Oryzias latipes: one gene and its partner. The protein of the gene in region 1 purifies or fractionates together with the protein of each later gene. This does not show direct contact. Links are inferred from orthologs where the notes say so. Each region holds a gene or a part of one and is shown on either strand. Other genes may lie near its edges.

What was found.
Region 2: the proteins of hectd1 (region 1) and smc4 purify together in Homo sapiens (affinity purification with western blotting; 3 studies listed by BioGRID, with this or other methods). This does not show direct contact. The link is inferred for Oryzias latipes from reciprocal best matches to the Homo sapiens genes HECTD1 and SMC4.

Annotation. Positions count from the first base shown.
Region 1 is NC_019880.2:2,632,043-2,641,722, forward strand, and holds the start of hectd1 (E3 ubiquitin-protein ligase HECTD1), read right to left. Parts: upstream 8,780-9,680; 5' UTR 8,438-8,779; intron 3,246-8,437; 5' UTR 3,141-3,245; intron 2,793-3,140; 5' UTR 2,783-2,792; coding exon 2,643-2,782; intron 2,569-2,642; coding exon 2,334-2,568; intron 780-2,333; coding exon 552-779; intron 471-551; coding exon 189-470; intron 122-188; coding exon 1-121. UniProt on the Homo sapiens protein: E3 ubiquitin-protein ligase which accepts ubiquitin from an E2 ubiquitin-conjugating enzyme in the form of a thioester and then directly transfers the ubiquitin to targeted substrates.
Region 2 is NC_019871.2:13,487,137-13,497,259, reverse strand, and holds the start of smc4 (structural maintenance of chromosomes protein 4), read right to left. Parts: upstream 5,881-10,123; 5' UTR 5,837-5,880; intron 5,759-5,836; 5' UTR 5,702-5,758; intron 4,558-5,701; 5' UTR 4,548-4,557; coding exon 4,406-4,547; intron 4,385-4,405; exon of another isoform or gene 4,222-4,384; coding exon of another isoform or gene 4,152-4,221; intron 3,476-4,151; coding exon 3,285-3,475; intron 1,960-3,284; coding exon 1,768-1,959; intron 814-1,767; coding exon 637-813; intron 130-636; exon of another isoform or gene 27-129; intron 1-26. Other genes in the region: ift80 (intraflagellar transport protein 80 homolog), read left to right, coding at 6,742-6,778, 7,183-7,404, 9,595-9,705, 9,830-9,898. UniProt on the Homo sapiens protein: Central component of the condensin complex, a complex required for conversion of interphase chromatin into mitotic-like condense chromosomes.

The DNA of each region.
Region 1 (9,680 bases):
TCCGCCCCTCGAACAGAAGCACCAGCAGCAGGTCGACCAGCCGCATGGTGTCCAGCACACAGCGCTCGTCTCCTCCCAGCGCAGACTCCATGGAGTTAGGGAGTGCCGAACGTAACAAGTCCTGAAAACCAGGTTCAGCTTTAGTACACGGCAACTTTGTTTAAAAAAACAAAAAAAACTGGACTTACATGAGTGACCACTGGCGACCCCCGGCAGAGCGTGGACAGCAGGCTAACGATGGTGGACACCTGGTTGCTCAGTTTGGAGTCGGAGGCAGACGGTGTGGCACCAGTGGAGGGCCGACCTGGTTTACAGGCAGAAGAAGAGCCCGACACGGAACCTCCGGCAGCCGCCATGCGGGAAAGCAGCTCCTCCGTCAGTCCATGTTTGGCCAGAGGGGCGGGGTCTACGCCTCGACGAGTAAACCGATCAGCCAATGAGGCGAAGCAACGCAGAGCACCGTCTGACACCTGGAGGACAGAAAGCGTCTTTGAGTCAGAAGGCTGCATTTCTGAACCAGCTGGTGTCCGGTGGGGGTGCCGCCCGGTTACCTGGTGATCCTCATGTTTCAGGAGGCTGGACAGAGACTCCACGCAGGTTTCTAGAGAAGAGTCCTGCGGCTCCATCTTGCTACAGAGGCGAGACACCACTGCCATTGCAGAGTGCAGAGTGTCTTTGTGGACCAGGTGACCACTGTCGCGTATGAAGCTCAAAACGCAGTTCAGACCGCTGGCTTCAAACACGGCGCCAGATTCCCTGGTACAGATCAGCTCCAGCACCTGCAGTCACAGGTTTGAAACTCAAACAACCGTTCTGGACTTTTTAACATCACGCTAGAGCTCTTTAAAGGCATCTCCATTCATCTGAAGTGTTGCAGGCAAAATTCACCAGTGTTTATCTAATGAGCGTGGACAGAAACCGCTGCGTTTGAGACGCAGCTCAGGAGCTGCACCTGAGCTGCTGCATTGAAGCTAAAACCCAGTTGATTTAGCTGCAATGCAGATGATGAAGATGTGTTTACATTAAGGGATAAAGCTGACCGAAATCCTCCTTCAACAGAGACTAAAAGATTAAGATAAACAAGAATACAAACAATTGAATCATTTTTATGTGATGAAACAACATCACAGGTTACATGACGGTGCCAAAATTGTCAGCATAAGTTGTTTTTTTCCTCAGTCCCCCTGCAGTGTCTCTGGATCGCAGCGGACACTCCCTCCCTCCTCCTCTCACATGCGCACACACACACAAATACATCACTTGTATTTCATCCCAATAGTTCATTTTCTTTGGTCTGAAATAGAATTGCAATCCCCGTCAAGCTATTCCCATCATAAACTCTCAAACCGGATCCTCCTAAACATCATCATACAAATATGTTCACACCAGAAAACGGGAATGGATGACACATGTCAAAATTGTTATTGTGCGAATGATTATTTTCAAATTAAGCTTATTTTCAAATTGTAGACGTTAAAATAAAATAAATTGCTTCAAAATTTTGCTATGTCTTTAAGTTTTTTCTAAATTACATTTGCAAGGCCCTGAAAAGGGAGAAAACAGGTTTAGAAGATGAATGAATGAATATTTGCAAGGCAAAGGTAAAAATGCCTTTGGAAAAAGCAATATTTGTTTAGTTGGCCTGTGGGAGGGGCTTATAAGGCTCTGGTTCCATTGAGGCCAGTGTTGGTTACACTGGTGGTAACAAGTAACCCGTGCAGAAGTGACGGCTGTATTCTTTCTTTAGCTTAGGACCAGTAAAATCCCATGTTTCATTTTATTTTGACATTACTGACTGGGCTATGTTTTTTTGAAATGTCTATTTTCCAATGTTAAGAAGAACTCTGTCACACCAGAAAACTAATGGATCTTGTTAGATTTGAGGTAATCATCTTTTTAGAAGGCAATGACAGAATCCTCAGAACCTGTGCTCTGCCCTCCATCTCCCAGTGATTCATGCTTCACATAAAGCGCAGTACTCTTTTCATGAAATTACTACAACTATTTCAATGTACACAGACCATGATGGAGGCATTTTTTATTACATTTTTCCTGACTTTAAAACAGCTGCAACGACTCCAGGACAGTTATGGTCGTCTGCGCTAAAGAGATTTAGGAACCGACAACACGTCTGTTCATTTTAGGACGATATGGTCCACAGCAACAATTCCTCCATCAATCATCCATGAAGGAACAGGGAACATGGAGCAGCCAGAACTGAAACTGAACAAGCAATTTACCTTCCTAAAAGACTTGGTAATATTTCCATGTTATGCAGATTTTAGAGGTTTTGAAGGTCTCAGGTTCTCTGCTGCAACAGCCAAGTCTCTTACCTTAACACACTGCTCAGCCAGATCCCTGCTGGTCCTGTTGTTGAGTTCCACCACCACCAGCCGGTTGCACAGGGCCTTTATGGCCCCGTCCACACCCACGATCCTCCGCGTGCATTCTGCCGACACGTCCAGGTAGTAGGTGATGGCTCTGGCCGTGACCTCCAGCACGTTATCAGGAGCGCTCTCGTCCAAGAAGATCTTACAAAGCGCTGGGAGGAACGTTCGAGGAGGACATCTGACAGACAGGAAGATGGAGTTCAAAGGTCTGAGCACACGAGCGTCTGCGGCTCTTAAAACAGGAAAGCTCACGTCTCAAAGCAGCGGTCCACGTTGTCCGACATGAGCAGCAGCATGCAGAGCTGCTCCAAGGCGATGAGCTGCATGTCCCGCTCATCGCCCTGTCCCATCTGCAGCCACTCCAGCAACGTGTCTGGGTCCACATCCGCCATGATGGCAAGCCTGGCAGATAAACAAACCCACGTCAGACTTCATCTTTGACGAAGTTGGATTGTTTGTCAGGGATCTGGGTCATTTCTAATTGCCTTAATTATCAATATTATATGAAACCCTGAGCTCAAAATTTAAAGTTTCTGTCAGAAAAGTTGTCTATTTGGTAGTTGTTTTTAAAGCATTGCGTGTGCAGCCTGAGGACTTTGCTTTCCAAACCCCAAAGCATCACTTAGAACCGGCTGCATTTCTCTGAACCTCTCTTTGGCACTGGGAGGGCACTAAGTGACAAAGTGGATCTTCATGCATCTCCAGTGTCTGTCATTCTCCCATCTTAATAGTTAAAGATAAAAGGCTCACCTGGCTGTCCTCTGGCTGCCCCGTCTGGCTCAGTGCCCAATCACTGGTCACAGCTGAGACGCTGTTTGGTGTTCATCCAACCAATGAGATGGAGGGGGCAGGTTTCTGTGGTGACAGGAAGAGAGTGAGAGGTGCACCAAAATGGGATTTTACCTGTGAAGCCTGGATTCAAAAGTCGCATCAAAAACTGTAAAAACTCCATTTGAAGATACTGATCAACAGATCAGTTCATAAAACCAACCAGATGTGGTCAAGCCAAGTTCTGTCCAAACCTGTCAGTGAACTCTTGTTTCCCTTGTTTTTATTGAAATTTAAAAGCTTTATTAGTACAATTCATATCTTATCTACAATTCGACTCATGCACGCCCATGAGTCGAAGTGTCCTTGGGCAAGACACTGAACCCCACCTTGCCTCTGGTGGTAGGCGAGCGCCTGTGTTTGGCAGCGGAGCCGCCACCAGTGTGTGAATGTGTGAGTGAATGTGTGTGTCACTGGGTGAATGTGTCGTTGACTGTAAAGCGCTTTGTCCTTGTAGGAAGAAAGCCACTATATAAGTATACGCCATTTACCATTTACTTTGATTCTATTAAATCCTTTTTGTTTGATTTTAGAAAAGTTATTTAAATCTAGCAGAAATTTGACAAATTCATGTTGAATTGAACGAGATTTGATTGTAATTTGAATTGATTTATGACCATGTGAGTCTAAATGAGATTAGTTATAAATGTAAACACAATAAGCTTCATGAACAGGCTTGAATAAACATGTCAGATGTGTAGCTTGTTTGAAAGGATTAGCAGAAATTTTTTCCCCCCTCAAACTGTTCCTCTGTTTTTTTAAAAATAAATCCTAAAGACACAAAGTCTCCTTTTTAGGACACTTTTGTTCTGAAATGAACATGGTAACACAGTGGGTTTGGAAAGCTCAGGTAATGTTTGACAAAGTACTTCTGGTCAACATCGGCGTCCGAACACCTCCATGATAAAAAGTCACTCCAGGTGGTGACGGTCAAACATGAAGATCATTCATTTCCTGGAGCCTCTGCTGTGAGAGGAGCATGATGTCCTTCACAATCAGAGTATATTCATGTGGGTCCATCAGTACAACAGCTAAAGCTGAGCTCAAACTGGGTCACAAACAGAACGAAGATGCAGTGAAGGTCCAGACCCGACTGACATGCCATGGTGGACATTCAGTTTCATCCTGAAATGTTTTAGAGAAATATTTTGGTCAAAACTCCTCAAGATGCATGTTTGAAGGAGCTTTTTCTCTGGAGAAACAAGTACAACAGTAACTGGCTGCTACTTTCTAACTTCTAGATTTATTTTGAGACGTTGGTACCTTATCTGAGGGCACAGACAGTTAGGCTGCTTGATTCCTTAGCACAGTGAATGAGCTCCTTGTCTCCACTTGTCCAGGAGCAGTAGACCTCCCTCCCTGAACCTGACATGACTTTCAGGAAAACGGTGTCGGTGTCTAAGGTAGTGTGTAAAATCAGCTGATCAGAACAATAACTGGAACATCCACGCCAACTTCAAATAAGTAAGTCGGTGCCGAATGCTGACGGAACCATTTAAATCAGATATTGGAAGCGCTAAAGGTGACGACAGCATAATAAGTGAACACTCAACACTAAACTACAAACTTGTGTGGAAAATGGCTCAACATTATTTGGTACAGGATATACATGCGACAAACTTCCCTCTAAAACAAGCAGAATACTCACTACTGCAAGACGACAAAATCAAATGATTAATATGAATTAGGCCTGAGCGAAAAATCGATTGAATTAATTAATTCGAATTTTTTGTTACGGGCGATTTAAAAAATAACTAAATCCAGTTTTTGTGCAATGGCGCATTTGGTTTGCAACCGCATTTGGGTGCGGTTGACCGCGACTCCTGCTGCTTCATCACCGCGGTGATCAAAAATCCCATACCGTCACAGCTCTAGTTTATATTTTGAGGGACACCAAAAAAAAGGCGACTTCTCCGGTACCGATAGCAGAACCGTTGAGGTCAGATCTTACAGAGACCGCGGGCTTGAAGAATGTTGCCCCGGGGCTCGTTCAATACCGGGGCTCGGTACCAATCCATAGGAAAGGGGCACGGTGGAGAACAATCATCGAAGCGGTCGCTTTGCATATAGCCAAAGACATGGTACCCATATATACCATGGAGAAGACGGGGTTTATTAGTTTAATTAAAACCTTAGCCCCCAGATATGAACTGTATTGTTTTAGAAAATGGTGCTACTCTCAAGGTGAATGTTTGTCTCCTTTTAGTCTAGACTACAAAGTGGGACTCAAAACACAGCTGGGACTTTGATTCCAAGAGTGTGATCATTTATTTAGTATTCATCCCATTGCGTTTGCTTAAATAAAAGCAAAATTTGCTTTAACTTAAGTTGTCTGCCATTTGTACTTGTTGCTTTCCTTAAATGTGTGTGTCTGTGGGGGGGTTAAAAAAAACAATAAAATCGGAGATTTTATTTTTAGGCCATATCGTCCAGCCCTAATGTGAATGAACAAATGTACTTAAAACTTCAAAAAGGTTAGGGGAACTTGTCAATATCACAGTTGTCCGTTTTTGTGAGACATAAATAAGATGCTCCTCTTTTCAGCATCTTTTGTTTGTTCATTCATGTGGCGCTAAAGATAAGCATCTTCCCCAAAAGCTGACAAGTCAATTCAAAATTCAAGTCAAAATTTACAGCAAAATTATGGAAAATTTGTCACAAACAACTACTAAATGCTCACATAAGTGATCCATCAATTTCTATATTACTATAGTATTAGGAATTGATTAGTATAACTGATTCTTCCTTAATGTTGAAGCTTTATGTTGTCAAAACTATTAAAAAAAACAAAAACAAATTGGTGCCAGAGATCTTTTATTAAAAGAATGATCTATATTAAAGTGAAAACAGCTAATGGTTCTGAACTGCAGAAAACTCATGGACTGTGCAGTTCAAGGAGAGTTTGACTCTAGGAAACACATTGATCTGGTCATTAATAAAACAGCATTCAAAGATCAATCTGCTTATGAAAGCAGCCTATTAATAATATTTCAATATTTCACTGCATTAAACCACAATAACCACAGCACAAGCTATTTGATCCTTGCGAAGATTTCAAACCTTGTTTTTAGACATTCAAGGCATTTTACCAGGTTTAAAGTTGTTTTAACTTCTAGCTTTTCTCAAAATCAGCACAATGGAGAATTTTTGTCTGTTAGAATTAAAAAATAAGGAAATTATTATTAAGGTGAGTCAAAATCATTTTGCTCCAAACTCTTGACAATAGAATAAACTTGATTAAAGACTTGAAAAGAAATAATCAAATTGCACTGTAAATTTGGTTCAATTTTAAGGATTTAAAAGCTCATTAAATATTAAACAGGCTTTGGTTGTATCTATTTTGGAAACAAATATTTTAATTTATGTTCTATGAATAAGAGCTAGTTTTAGTTTTTAGAAGGATTTAGTATGATGGGCCCATTTGAACTAAGCTCATATTCTTATTTCACTCAGTTTGTTCTAAAATCAGTCATTTTCACTTATTACACTAGATTAGTCACTGTAGTCAATATAAAAACTACAATTGGGTACAAGAAAACTCCAAAACAAACTACTTACTTAGACTCAACAAAAAGAAACTTCTTATTGGGCTATTAACTAACTAACATTTAATTTTAAGTAATTATATTAAAAAGTTAGCTTTTTTAGCTTAATTTTTCCATGTTTTATGCTTGTTTCTAGAGTTTGATATCTTATCAGATTTCTTTTCAAGTAAAGATTACTTGATGCGTGGGCAGATAATTTTACTACTTTCTAGGGATTTTCTTCTTAGATTAGTGTTCTTTTCCTAGTTTTAGGCTACCGTTTGTGGCAGTGTACACACTCAGCTGCTAGGATTACTGTAACATTGTAAATATGATATTTGCACGATTAGTTAAAAGAGGTTTTGGCCTCGTCAGCTGCTCCTGAATGAATCCCAGATTTTTTACATCTTTTTTTCCTTTATCTTTCAATATTCTAGAGCTCAGTTTGTTTTGGTTTAATGTAGTCGGTTGACAATATCCAAACGCTGCACATCAGTAAAGCAATAAAACAAATTCAGCAAATTTAGGAATTGAAGTTAATGTTTGATTTCTGAAAAAAGTTTAAATTATTACAGACAATTTTAAGGTTTAAAGTAAAACAAGTTTTTGTGTGCCTGCTTTTCTCAGACCCGTTTGAGGTTTCTAAGAAAACCTGTTTCAAAGGAAAAACAAAGCCTCCAGTCTGAATATGAAGAAACCGGATGCGTTTGGGGAACTATAGCCGCTCTTAGATGTAAATATCCCTGATGTGAATCTACAAAACTAAAATTACAGTGTTTGTGTTTACATGACAGAAGTACCAACCGGACGGAGGTTGAACAGTTTAGGTTTGGTGACTGCCCAGAGAAAAGTCAAATTCCCGGCAGATGTTTTGTCCCCTTTGGCTGCGCGTGTGCGTGTATGTGTGTGTGTCACAGCCTGATGTGAGCAGCTGTGGTCCGAGACGTCACGGATCCAGGACGGCACGCGCTGTTGGCACGGTTACAGCTCGGTCAACTGTGACTCCCGGTTAACACAACGTCAACAAGCAAACAACACACACAAATTGGGTTTTAATTTGTTGAGACCCCACAGAAGAAAAAGGAAAAAAAAAAAAAACAGAAACTGCGTCGCCCAGCAAGGTCTGACGGAGCTAGTAACGGGGCAACAGCTGCCTGATTATTTTATCAAACATAAGAGGATAGACTGAGCTGAGATCTGCTAGGAGTTAGCCGCAACGCTGGATAACAAAAAGAATTATATTTATGTCGATTATTCCTGACAGCAATTTTTAAAACAGTTTCGAACGTGTCGCTCAGCTACTATGTAACACCAGAGTATAAACTGGAAACCTAAAACTGTCCTGAAATGTGTGTCAACAGCCTCGAATGATGATGGCAGACGTGAGCCCGTGTTAGCCGGTTAACGGTCATTAGCACGGCAGAGTAGCTTATCTCAATCCGAGTGTGCCGATTTCAGCTTTTCACTTAAAAAATTAGCCAAATGCACTTCGAGTTGTCGCGTTCTTACTACAAAACGCAAAGTATCACAGCGTGAGTCATTCCGATAATTTCGTAATTATACGTTAAAAGTACTTGTGGCCTACTACGGTGTAAGCGATCCGCGGCCCTCGAGTTCCAGGAGAGCCGCGAGGCCGCGCAGCAGTTGCGGAGGCTCATCACAAGCGACACCGGGCCCAGACCCCCCCCCCCTTACCTTAAGGACGAAGTTTTTCTCCGTCAAAGAACCGATACGCCGAGCTGCTATTTTTCGCGTCCAAACGAAGACGTTCCCAGTCGTTCGTTTTGCCGGTGTTGGTGCTGAAATCAAGGCACTCCCATTTCTTTTGAGCTGATCCCAGGCGGCGACACAGTTCAGCTCAGCGGGCCGGTAAGCAGAGCTCAGCCGACCGGACTGAGAGCGAGAACTGAGCCAAGTCTGCGGCGTTCAGGGCTGCTGTCGAGCTCGGAAATTCCACCGCTCAAATGCCCTCAGGGGAACACAATGACTGGAGGAAAACTGACATTTTTAACTACAACATTAAAATAACTTTACAACAATTAAGGAAAAGTAAACACTACATGTTACAACTGCCTGCACCATTTAAAGCTTAAACACAAACCATTACCATATTTTCCGTGGCACTAATTCTAAACAGAAATGATTGATTTATGCAGTGTTTTTATGTGTGCTGCAGAACTATTTAACCAAAATGAAAGCCTTCAGCGACCCTTGTGACCCGACATGGGGTGTGGTGGAAAACTAAATCCACCAACAGGTTTGTTGGTAAAAAGAGACGACTAATTGCTTTAGTACTCATTTAAAAGACACTCTGTGAATGTTATGAGAGATTAAGTGTGAAAACATGTGTGTAATGGAGTTTTCTGAGTTACTCGAAAAGAAAAACCAGCAGCTCCACCAGAAAGTTTGCACTTACAGCCTGGCAAGAGAACAACTCGTGCACATTTTTCAGATGGATGTGTCTGAGGTCAAACATGCAGCTTTTTCCTGTGTTCTGCTCAGTCCATGTCCAAGAGATGGTTGGTCAGAACAAACCAGCAAAACTAGGAGGGTTAATCTGCCCCCACAAAAACAAACCTGCTGAGGCAATACGTTAGTTTCTGTGAAGCCAATCATCTTCCTTTGTCTCCCCAGGTTGTGACACAGGCTTGTCAGCTGCTTATTGATTCATCTTCATTGCTGATGAGGCCTTCCACTCTAATGTCATCAGCAAACGCGATGACGAAACAGGAAATAAATCCGCCGCATCTCAGCAGCTCGCAGACGTCGCCTCAGTTTACCCTCCTGTGCTGCTGATCCTGACAGTCTGTCTTCTCAGGGTTTGGAACTCAGGACCCTTTGGAAACAGACTGAGCCCTCTGAAGATCACGGGGAGTTTGGGCTTTCATACACAGACTAAACGATAATGTTACCAAGTGGACTTTCCTAAAACTTGGAA
Region 2 (10,123 bases), on another chromosome or scaffold:
AGTTAAAGTCCTGGCAACAGAGGATGTTTGATCCCGTCACACTGAAGCAGCACTGCTAATATTGGGGTTGGGGGCTTTTTTCACACGCCAATATTTACGTGCTGCTACAGCGTAGCAGGTATATTGAAAAAGGAAGGGTCCACCTCATCGCCATTAGTGGATCCACAAAAATAAAAAAATTAAAATAAAAAAAATATTAAAAATATAAAAAAACTCTGTTAAGCTAGCAAATAGTTTAGCAACTGACATTCAGGTTTATGTGGGAGAATTTCAATTTTTTGCATTTTTTCCTTAAAATTCTAAAGCAGCAAATAATGGTTCGCACTTTTTTCTGACTGTTTCAAACCATGATGCGCTGCTACAGCATTCTAAGGTCTTGCAGAGGGCAACCCCTCCCCAGTTCTTTTCTATGACACCACAGCATATTCCATGACATTTCCAGACATGGCCTACAGGTACATGAGAAACATTTAAGCAAAAAAGAACCTGAGAATTGCACTAAAAAAAATAAAAAAATAATAATAAAAAAAGATAAATGACAGAATGGCATGATTATTCAAAAAAAAATAAAGTTTTTTGGACTTGCAGGATAAGAGGAAAAAAGGAAAGAATACAAGAAAAACACTAAATAATTACCTGTAAAATCAGAAACCTGTTGTGGTCGAGGTCAATACCGTGACTTCGTAGTAATGCCCCCACTTCTTTAAATGTGGCTTTCTTGCCATTGATATGGTAGGCTGAGGAACCGTCTTTGTTGGCAGTCCTGGAAACGTAGAATTTGCTGTTGGGGATGACTTCGTAGTCATCTCCTTCCTGGCTCGGGGGGGGGGGAGGGGCAGAAGACACAGCAGCTTAGAACAGAACAGTTCAGGAGAGGCTGAAACAGCCCAACACGTCAAACTGTTCCAACACTGACAGATTCACTTATTAACAAGGCCTACATAGAAAAACACACACATAAAATATTGTTTATGAGAATGCACTACATCTATAAAGGCAAAGGATAAGATAAAACACTAAATGTGTATTGGAGTGTATTGCATCGTAAGCTTCCTAAACTTGTAACTACAAAAGATAAACGGATTGGGTAAAAATGTTTAGTTGAAAGAAGAAAAAAGGCTATTTATTTAAGGCCGTGTGCACATCGCTGAAAGAAAAAACCCTGTAGTTTTAAGGAATGATTGTAAATACAAAACTGACAGATTTCTCAGTTTGTGCCAATTTTAAGACAAATCAATGTTTATTAAAAAATACACAACATTTTAGCTTCAGCAGTGTGATCAAATTCACAGTCCCTATGGCTAATTTAATTTATAAAAAATTTTCTAATTGGGGGGAAAATGTAGCTCACAGTTGGTGGTTACAGCAGCCTGTTATTACATCCTACCTAAAGCAAACACTACTGCTTTTTTTTTTTTTTTGCCACCATGAAAAAAAGCAGAGGCAATAAATGCATTTGTTTATCTCTTTCCCTTCATTGCCATCAGATCAATTTTAGGGCAAAATGACTCAAATGTGGCACGTGTGGGAGTTCCAGTAACTTTCACAACTGATTTAAGTTTACACTTGGTCACTAGAAGAAGAATTGAGCAGCAATATTACTGCATTAGAAACGACAAAGAACAAATACATTTTAAAAATTCATTTTTGCCCAACTAAAATATTTCTGGTGATTTTTTTTTTGTTTGTTTGAACAACAAACTGATCATTTTAGTGAAGTTTGTATTTGTGTGTAAAAAAAAAAAGTGTTTATAAATATCTGTATACCTTATCAATGATCTTTTGAAAATGCACCTCCACAGTACAGCTTTGCACATCTTTGTGTTTATCAGAGCTGTGAATCAACACTGAAAGCTTTTTTGATCTTATCTTTTGAGCTCTGTATCCAAACACAAAGAGCATGGAGTCTATCACATTAGACTTGCCGCTTCCATTTGGACCAATGATGCAGGAAAAGCGCTGGGAAGAAATTAGGAGACAAAAATAAATAAATAAAAATGAATGCATCATCCATATGAAACATACAAGAGATTAAGATTCAACAACAGCTGTCAGTAACAGCGATGACACCACACACAAGTCTAATATAGATTTAAACACTTAAATTTAGCAATATGAAACTTGCATGGACATGAGGCGACTGAAAAAGATTTTTTTTAAAGAAAAAAACATTTAAAAAGTTTCATTAAATGTGATTACACCAGTAGATTTTCAGAAACTGAGAGAAACACTAAATCAAAATGGAGGAGTGTGACTTCTTCCTCTTTTTTTAAGGATTTTTCTCTCTAAACATTTTTACTAATAATCTTATTTTTTTATAGATTTCAATAAGACACATTTATTAGAAAGGTGACCTAAGATTTCAGACAAGAAAAAAAATAGTATCAAATGAATAAGACTTGGATAGTAACAGTTACACTAAATCAGTGACGTGCAGTCAGGAGAGGCAGGTGAGGCTGTGCCTCACCTGTCATGGGAAGAAAAGAGAAAAAATAAATTCAACTATTATATTTAATCAGTAATTTGTGCTTTGCAGTCATTTTCCATTTAAATGTACCAATTTTGGGTGTTTTTTCTTTTCAAAATCGCTGAATTTCCGCATTTGCCGTTCAGATACTAAGAAGTGACGTGCGATGAGGCACCAGCCCGCTGAGCCTCACCTTGGATTGCGCAATACCTATGCAGTCAGACGGTACTGCTGTCTCTCTGTATGTCGGTTCAATCACTTGTACTGTATGAGCTGAGTTTGCATAATTTAGCAGATGTATATGATGTACAGTGTTTGTTTTTATAAATAACTGTATGTGAGGGACGTGTTTCTTGTGCTGAGCGCTAAACGCCGGCGAAAAAGCCGCTGGGTGAGGCCAGAAGTTCCCGTGCCTCACGTTAGGGGGCGCCGGTGAGCCTTGAGATTATGACGCTAAAAAAATAATAGAATAAGTGATAGCAAGCGGCAAGTCATTTTCTTCCGAAAGAGCGGCGTATGGACTTTAGTTACAAGTAAAGGTAAGACGATAATAATGTTTGTGCTTTTTTCTATGCTGCGTTTTGTATATGAAAAAAAACATGTTGAAATGATATTTTAAACAAAACACCTTAACTGTTGTCAATCAAATGGAGAATAAATTAATCAGTATGGTTCATATGTTTGTAAATCTGACTGATGACGTCAGTGCCTCACCAGCCATTAACCTCACCGCACGTCACTGCACTAAATGTAATCTAAGTACATAGTTAAATATATTCAGGACACATGGTAGATTAGAATCAAGTTTTGGTCGTACCTTGTGAAAAGGCCCCAGAATCTGCTCGCCTGCGTACGACTTAAAGTTGCGGTTCACTAAATGTGTTATCATCAGGCGGGGAGCGCCCGGCTCATTGGTCATTGCTGGGGGCGGGGGTGGAGGGATGCTACCGAGAATCTCCTCCAAACTTCGATTATCGACCGCCTCGGCAGCCTCCCCTTCTGCCGAATCTGTGGCACAGAAAAGGGCACTTTTCAGTTTTTCTGTGCGAATCGCTTCAGGTGGGGAGTGGGGGGGGGGGGGGGGTAATAGGGACGGGACAGTGGCCCATGGGGGAGGGGTGGGGGGAGAACAAAAACAAACAAACAAAAACACAGTCGGCAAGTCGCACAGACAGACAAGCGACTCCGGGGAAAGTTGACAGGCGTCGTTTTTTTCCCCCTTTGTTCAGAAAGCAAGAGTCAAGCCTCGGATCGGACATGAACGAGCACACATCAGTGCTCACAAACGCAGTCTCTCTCCGGTTTGATGCGCCACGGACACCTCCAGGATAAATGAAGTGCGTTTATATCAGCGACGTCGTTACTACACCCAGCTAAATGAAATACAGACAGGAAAAACTTTTCTGCATGAAGATCTACAACGATCTTCAAGAATCGGTTCAAAATCTTTTGTGTTCTCATATATACAAAAGAATTGACGGTGTTTCAAAAATAAAGTATAGCAGCTAGACATTTAGCGGAAAAAAAATTATTAAACAGATTCATGTACCAATGAACTTCAACAATTGCATCTTGAGAGCAGCACACGCGCTGTTCAAAAAAAAAAAAAAAAAGTTGCAGGCATGATGAATACAAATCCCGTTTTTACGTCACAACAAAAACACACCATTTCGAAGCAAATTACCTCGTTTGCCGTCAAGATCGGGCGAAGAAATGCATTCGACGATATGAAAATCATCCTGGAGTGATTTCATTTCTATGTTGCACTTTAGAAAACGTCTCAGCCATCCCAGCTACTCTTTTCAATTTAAGATAGAGGAGGGGAAGGAGCTTTACAGCTGTGCCAGTTGGCCTCTAGCAATACTGCAATACACGCAGAGCCATTGACTGAACAACTTATTTAGATTCACAGACACCAAAACAGCCTTTGTTACTTGCCAGTTGTCGGTGGTGCCTCCTCTTGGCCATTGGAGTTAGTTTCTTGAGGGGGTACATCCAGATCACCCTCAGACACATCCTGCGACCCTTTTCCTCTTGGCTTGGTAGAGGCGGTTGAGCTCTTTGCGGTTTTGGATGGCATGATTTGAAATCTAAAGGGGTCATTGGTAAAAAAATAAAAAAATAAATGGGGGGGGGGGGGGGGACACATGAGTGGTTTTTGTGTCTGTCAATCTCTCAACTCCACTTTACGGTCAGTCACACACAACTAATGTGTCAGGAGTTTGCCATTACCAGTCAAATCTTACTGCCGCCCTTCCTAATAATATACCATTGTGTTTATTATTTGTTTTTTCCTTCCAAAAGTTTAAATAGTTGCTAAAAACAAAAACATGGAAAAGTGTGTTACAGCGATTTTTATTCATCTTAACACTACTAGGATCAAAAAAAGGTTAGCTTTTAAAACAAATCCCCGTAAAAAAATGTTACAAACTAGCCAACTACAAAACTTTGGAAAAATGCTTTTTGGCCTTAACCGTTAACGTTTAACGGTGGGTAACAACGAAAAGGAAAATAAAGTTTACGTCACCCATTTGAAAAAAAAAAAAAGAAAGAAAGAAAAAGAGGGAGAGAAATTCGTGTCGAGCCTTGAATTGCTAGTTTTCTATGATGACCACTACTGAAAGCGCAGCTCAACAGATAACAGTCGAACTTGCAAACTAGCTTTCAGTCCCTGAATTCTAATGTTCAGGGCGGAATGATAATTTGAAGTTGGCCATCTAACGCGATTTGTTAATGTATTCGAATAACTAACCAAACCTACAGTACATGCAGCATGATTTAAGAATGTTTTCGTAATCGTTTTGTTACCGGATGACTATGTCGCATTAAAAGTTACTACGATTTTTTTTCCCTCGGCTAATAGTTAGGTTAGCAGGGGGGAGGGGGGGTGCTAACTAATCATTATGTCAAACTTAGCATCACAGAGCAGACCGACATATTACCACCTTTAACTGGTATAGGTTGTAATAAACATATAAACAGTAATGCTATAGGGGCTTAAGTTAAGAATCCATTATTGTTGCAATTATTAAAAAACGCTAAAAAAAAGTCAATAAGTAGTAGTAACACTATCAATGTCCTGCCAATGCTATATTTTTTCCTTTTACTTTATTTTAAAACATAGTTGGATTTGTGGCTTACTTAAAGGTTTGTCTCAATTTCAACGACCGCTATGAATTTCAGCAAATAGACGGAACCCAGTAAATATTTTTTTTCTATTTTTTCTTCATGTACCTTCCACAAATGAAAAAAAAGTCCTTCGCTGATTTTCTGTTTCGATCCAGTCCAAACCTTTCAAGAAGAATAGGTTAATCCAAGGTCTAGCAAAAAATACACTAAAATAGTCCACAAAATCGTGTGCCGTATCACCCGGAGCCGCTTCCTTTCTCGAAAAACTTGTCTTGTAAATGGCGCCTAAACTGCGCCGTCGAACCAAATTCGTTATAAACTCTCGCAAAGCATCATGGACCTTTCAAATGGTAGTGTGAAAAAAACACAAAATTCAAAAAAGGGGACGAAGCCAACTCCGCCTCGCTCCACCAGTGATAAGAAAGGCGCAACAGTAACAAAGCGATAAATGACAATTTCATAAAAAGACATCACTTACGATTTTCATTTTTTGAGTAAGGATATCTTTTAAGAAAAGAGTTGTGTTTTCAGTACTGTCGAATCATTCGGTTACTGTAAAATAAAGTCCCGCCCCATGGAAACGTTTATATTATTTTTTGGAAGTGACCGAGATCATCAACACATTATTCAGTAATAACGCAAGCCTACTTTAAAGATCATTTTCTGAATGAATTTGTATTAGTCACTCAAAAAGTAAACCCTCTATAAGTACACGCTGAGGTTGCAAATTGTTACAACTCTCGCGATGACTTGGCTGTCAACCGTTCACTCATCCGAGATTTCATGGCTAAAAAGTTAGCTTCCATACGTCATGAAAACAAAACGCTTCTTCATCAACGCTGCTTGACCTGGTTCATTTGTATCGAATATTCGAACTATATCAAATGACTTTCACACATTGATAAGAGGCACATAAAAGAAGTGCGGTCATCAGAATGCCCCCCGTGCGATTTTAAAAGGTAATGATTTTAGTTAGTTAGCTACAGTGGCTGCCTGGTAACATAGCAACTAGACGCTTGTTTGGTGTTGGTGCATTTTCTCTCTTTGTTGGATTTTCCTCTAATGTTAAGCTTGACTTAAGAGTTGATTCAAAACTGACATACGTGTGTTTTGTTTGTTTAGGATTCAACAGAGAGACAAGAACAATGAGACTAAAAACTACGCTGCAGAAGGAACCAAAACATATCCTTTAATTGCATCGTGATCCCTCTTGTTTTATAACTTATTGCCTTTGATTTGAGCTGAATGGCAAAATATTTTGAAAACTGTGACATTTCACGTTCCCGTTTTAATAGTATTATTGCTGTTCTTCAATTTAAGATTGTTTTTAAATTATTTTCTGTCCTACATTTCTGCAAACTAAAATAAATTTCTGCTGATAAGAACCACTGCAGCAATGATAAACCTTGTCATTTGCATTTTCTACTGAAAAAAATGAAGACAAAACAAAACAAACAAAAAATAAAATAAATAAAGGGGTTGGGGGCAGGTTCTCCAGATTCTAGGTATCTATGTAGAAAACATGCAATCAGCTGAATTTGTAATATTTGTCCTTTTTTTTATTATTTTTCTTAACACCAGCTCACATAAGGATCTTGTAAGTTGTTTAGGTTGGACCACAGCCGATGAGCTGTACTCATGCAGTGATGATCATCAGATCCTCAAGTGGAACCTGGTGAACAATGAAACCAATGTGGTCGTCAAGCTGTCAGAGGACATCTACCCCCTGGACATGCACTGGTTCCCCAAAACTGTTGGTGGGAAGAGACAAACCCAAGCTGAAATCTTTGTCCTCACCAGCACTGATGGCAAGTATTTTATAAAACCCACTCTGCATCTTAAAAAGCAAATGAACAGTATGTCCATATCAAGTTGTGAAAGACTCAATCAGCCGTTTTTAAATATATTTATTTATTTTACAAAATACTGCAGGATAGTAAAAAGTTTTAAGTAACCAGCCATGCTGTGACTCTTTTTTTTAAACTTCAATCCATGAAAATAAAATGCATTTTTATCTGATATTAAACTTGGACTTCACTGCATAAAAATTCCATTTGCCGTTTCGCAATGTGCCAGATGCGTTTCAATGATGATTGGCCAAAACCAAAAAATGTTTTTTTTCAGTGCCCATGCTTTTATGACGAAACTGCATGTTGATTAGAATTATGTTCCTGAAAGATGCAAGACTTTTTATGCTAAAGAAGTTTTGTGGGTAGAAGAAAAAGTTGCTCTGCCTGAAATATAATTTTTTTAGAGACGTGAACTTTTTTTTTTTGCAGAAATCTCTGCTGCTTCCATCATTATGGATGTTGAATTTGAATTCGTCAGGTGTAAATAATAATTTGTCTACACGAAAAAATGTTGCTTTTGAAACCCAAACTGCTGTGAACAGTTTTCCCTTTTCATTTTTTGACAGCATATGTTCCTATATATCGGTTTTTACATTTGTTCCTTCATGAATCATACCTGTTCTGTAATTCGACCAATGAACCCAAAGATCCCGGGCATCTAGCAATCATTATCTTATTTTTATCTTTTTTACAGAAATGATTTTGTGTTTGCTGGATGATGAGATATTCAAATACTTAATAACTTTATTGCAAGGATATTCTGAAATTCAGATTGTTTTTAATCCCAGTTCTACTGGTTCGTGAGCCCTGCCTCTCCTAGATGCTCTTTTTGTTAGATCATTCATTCATTCATTCATTCATTCATTCATTCATTCATTCATTCATTCATTCATTCATTCATTCATTCACTCACTCATTCATCTTCTAAATCTGCTTTGTCCCTTTCTGGGTCATGTGGCTGCTGGAGCCTATCCTGGCCACTCGTGGGCCAAGACAGGGGACATCCTGGACAGGTTGTCGTAGGGCTTTGTTAGATTATGTCCCTAAAAATGTTACCAACTATATAATTAGTAGCAGTCAGTTGTCTTCTTACCAACAGTTTTCCTCAGGAACCCCATAGAAGTCATTTATTTCAACATTTCAACTTTTATAAAGATGTGAGAATCCGCAGTTGCACTCATTACTTAATAAATTGTTTCCAGCGCAACTAGTGCAAAAATTAGTGTAGTGTCATTCATGATGCAACATAGATGTTTTGATGTTGCCTACTTTGAGCAAATGATAGTAATTTTCATACTTTTTGGGTAAATACACAATGGTTAATTTCTGTATTCCTTAGTTTGAGGATACCATACTGTTTCATTTGCCTTTGGATGACTTGGTTTGTCACTAAAGGCAACAATCCAGACAGTGCCAAGGTGTGTCATGCATGTTACGGTAGATATGAACACATAAGAGCATGATTGGACTGCTGTGGTAGGCAATATGTGGTCACAACTCTAATGGCAGTGTTGAATTGCAAAACGGATGCAGCAATTTACTTTGGCATGCCAGAGACTCGTTGCGATTCCCTTTTGCAACTTTCTTTCTCTTGCTTTCTTTAGTATAGTTTACACAAGCTAGACAAATAGCTGTTGCCATAAATACTACATGAAATATGAGAAGGGAAATGCATGACAATCATTTTTTGAACTACTGTGAGCCCTGACACATTTAGCAAAAGGATCAGTCTGTTATTGATCTTTAGCATTTTCTCAAATATCTATAAGAAACGTTTTCATGCTACAGTCCTGCAGCCCTGGTTACATATCTGGAATTTTCAATTTAATTCATTTGAAGTATTTTTAAAGTAAAGATTTTCTTTATTCATCTATTAATTGCAAGTAACTATTTTGGATCTGCAGTTTTTCCTTTTTTCTTTTTCAAATGTGTGCTTTTAAAACATTGTTTTGACAAATGTATGTTGCTCATCTGTTTAATATGTTGACTTAATTCATTTTGTTCTCCCATTTAAAGATGTATTGGTGCAACACTGCATTAATCAGTTTTGGACAGAGTCATTAGATCGTACTCGTCTGCATCAGGGCAAACGTGGACTGAAGAATAGTGTCACAATAAAGTCAACTCTTTTTTTTGGTTGTTTTTAAGGAAAGTTCCACCTGGTTTCCAAGATGGGGCGCATTGAGAAGAGTGTTGACGCTCACAAAGGTGCAGTCTTAGCAGGAAGATGGAACTACGATGGAACTGCTCTTGTTACAGGTTTGGATGTCGCTAACGCATACACAGCTGCAGTATAATAAATATTTGGTCAATTTTAGACAAAGAAACATATTCAATACACATTAATATTTTTTAAAGTAATGCTGCTTTCTATGGTTCTTAGCTGGAGAAGATGGGCTAATCAAGATCTGGTCAAAAGTTGGGATGCTGCGCTCAACTTTAGCCAACCAAGGTAAGGCTAATTGTTTTGTCTTAGTTTTACAGCCTATTATCCACTTAATTTTATGCACTTTGCAGAATTAAACTCGAAATACAGCTCTTAGATCATGTAAAAACAACTAAAATGCTGAAGAACTGCCTAAAAGTCAGCTCGTCTTTCTTATCCCACATTTTCTTGGACTTCCCTCATACTTGAAATCTGACCGTTTCTTTTAGCTGACCTTTTATACAGGTTTCT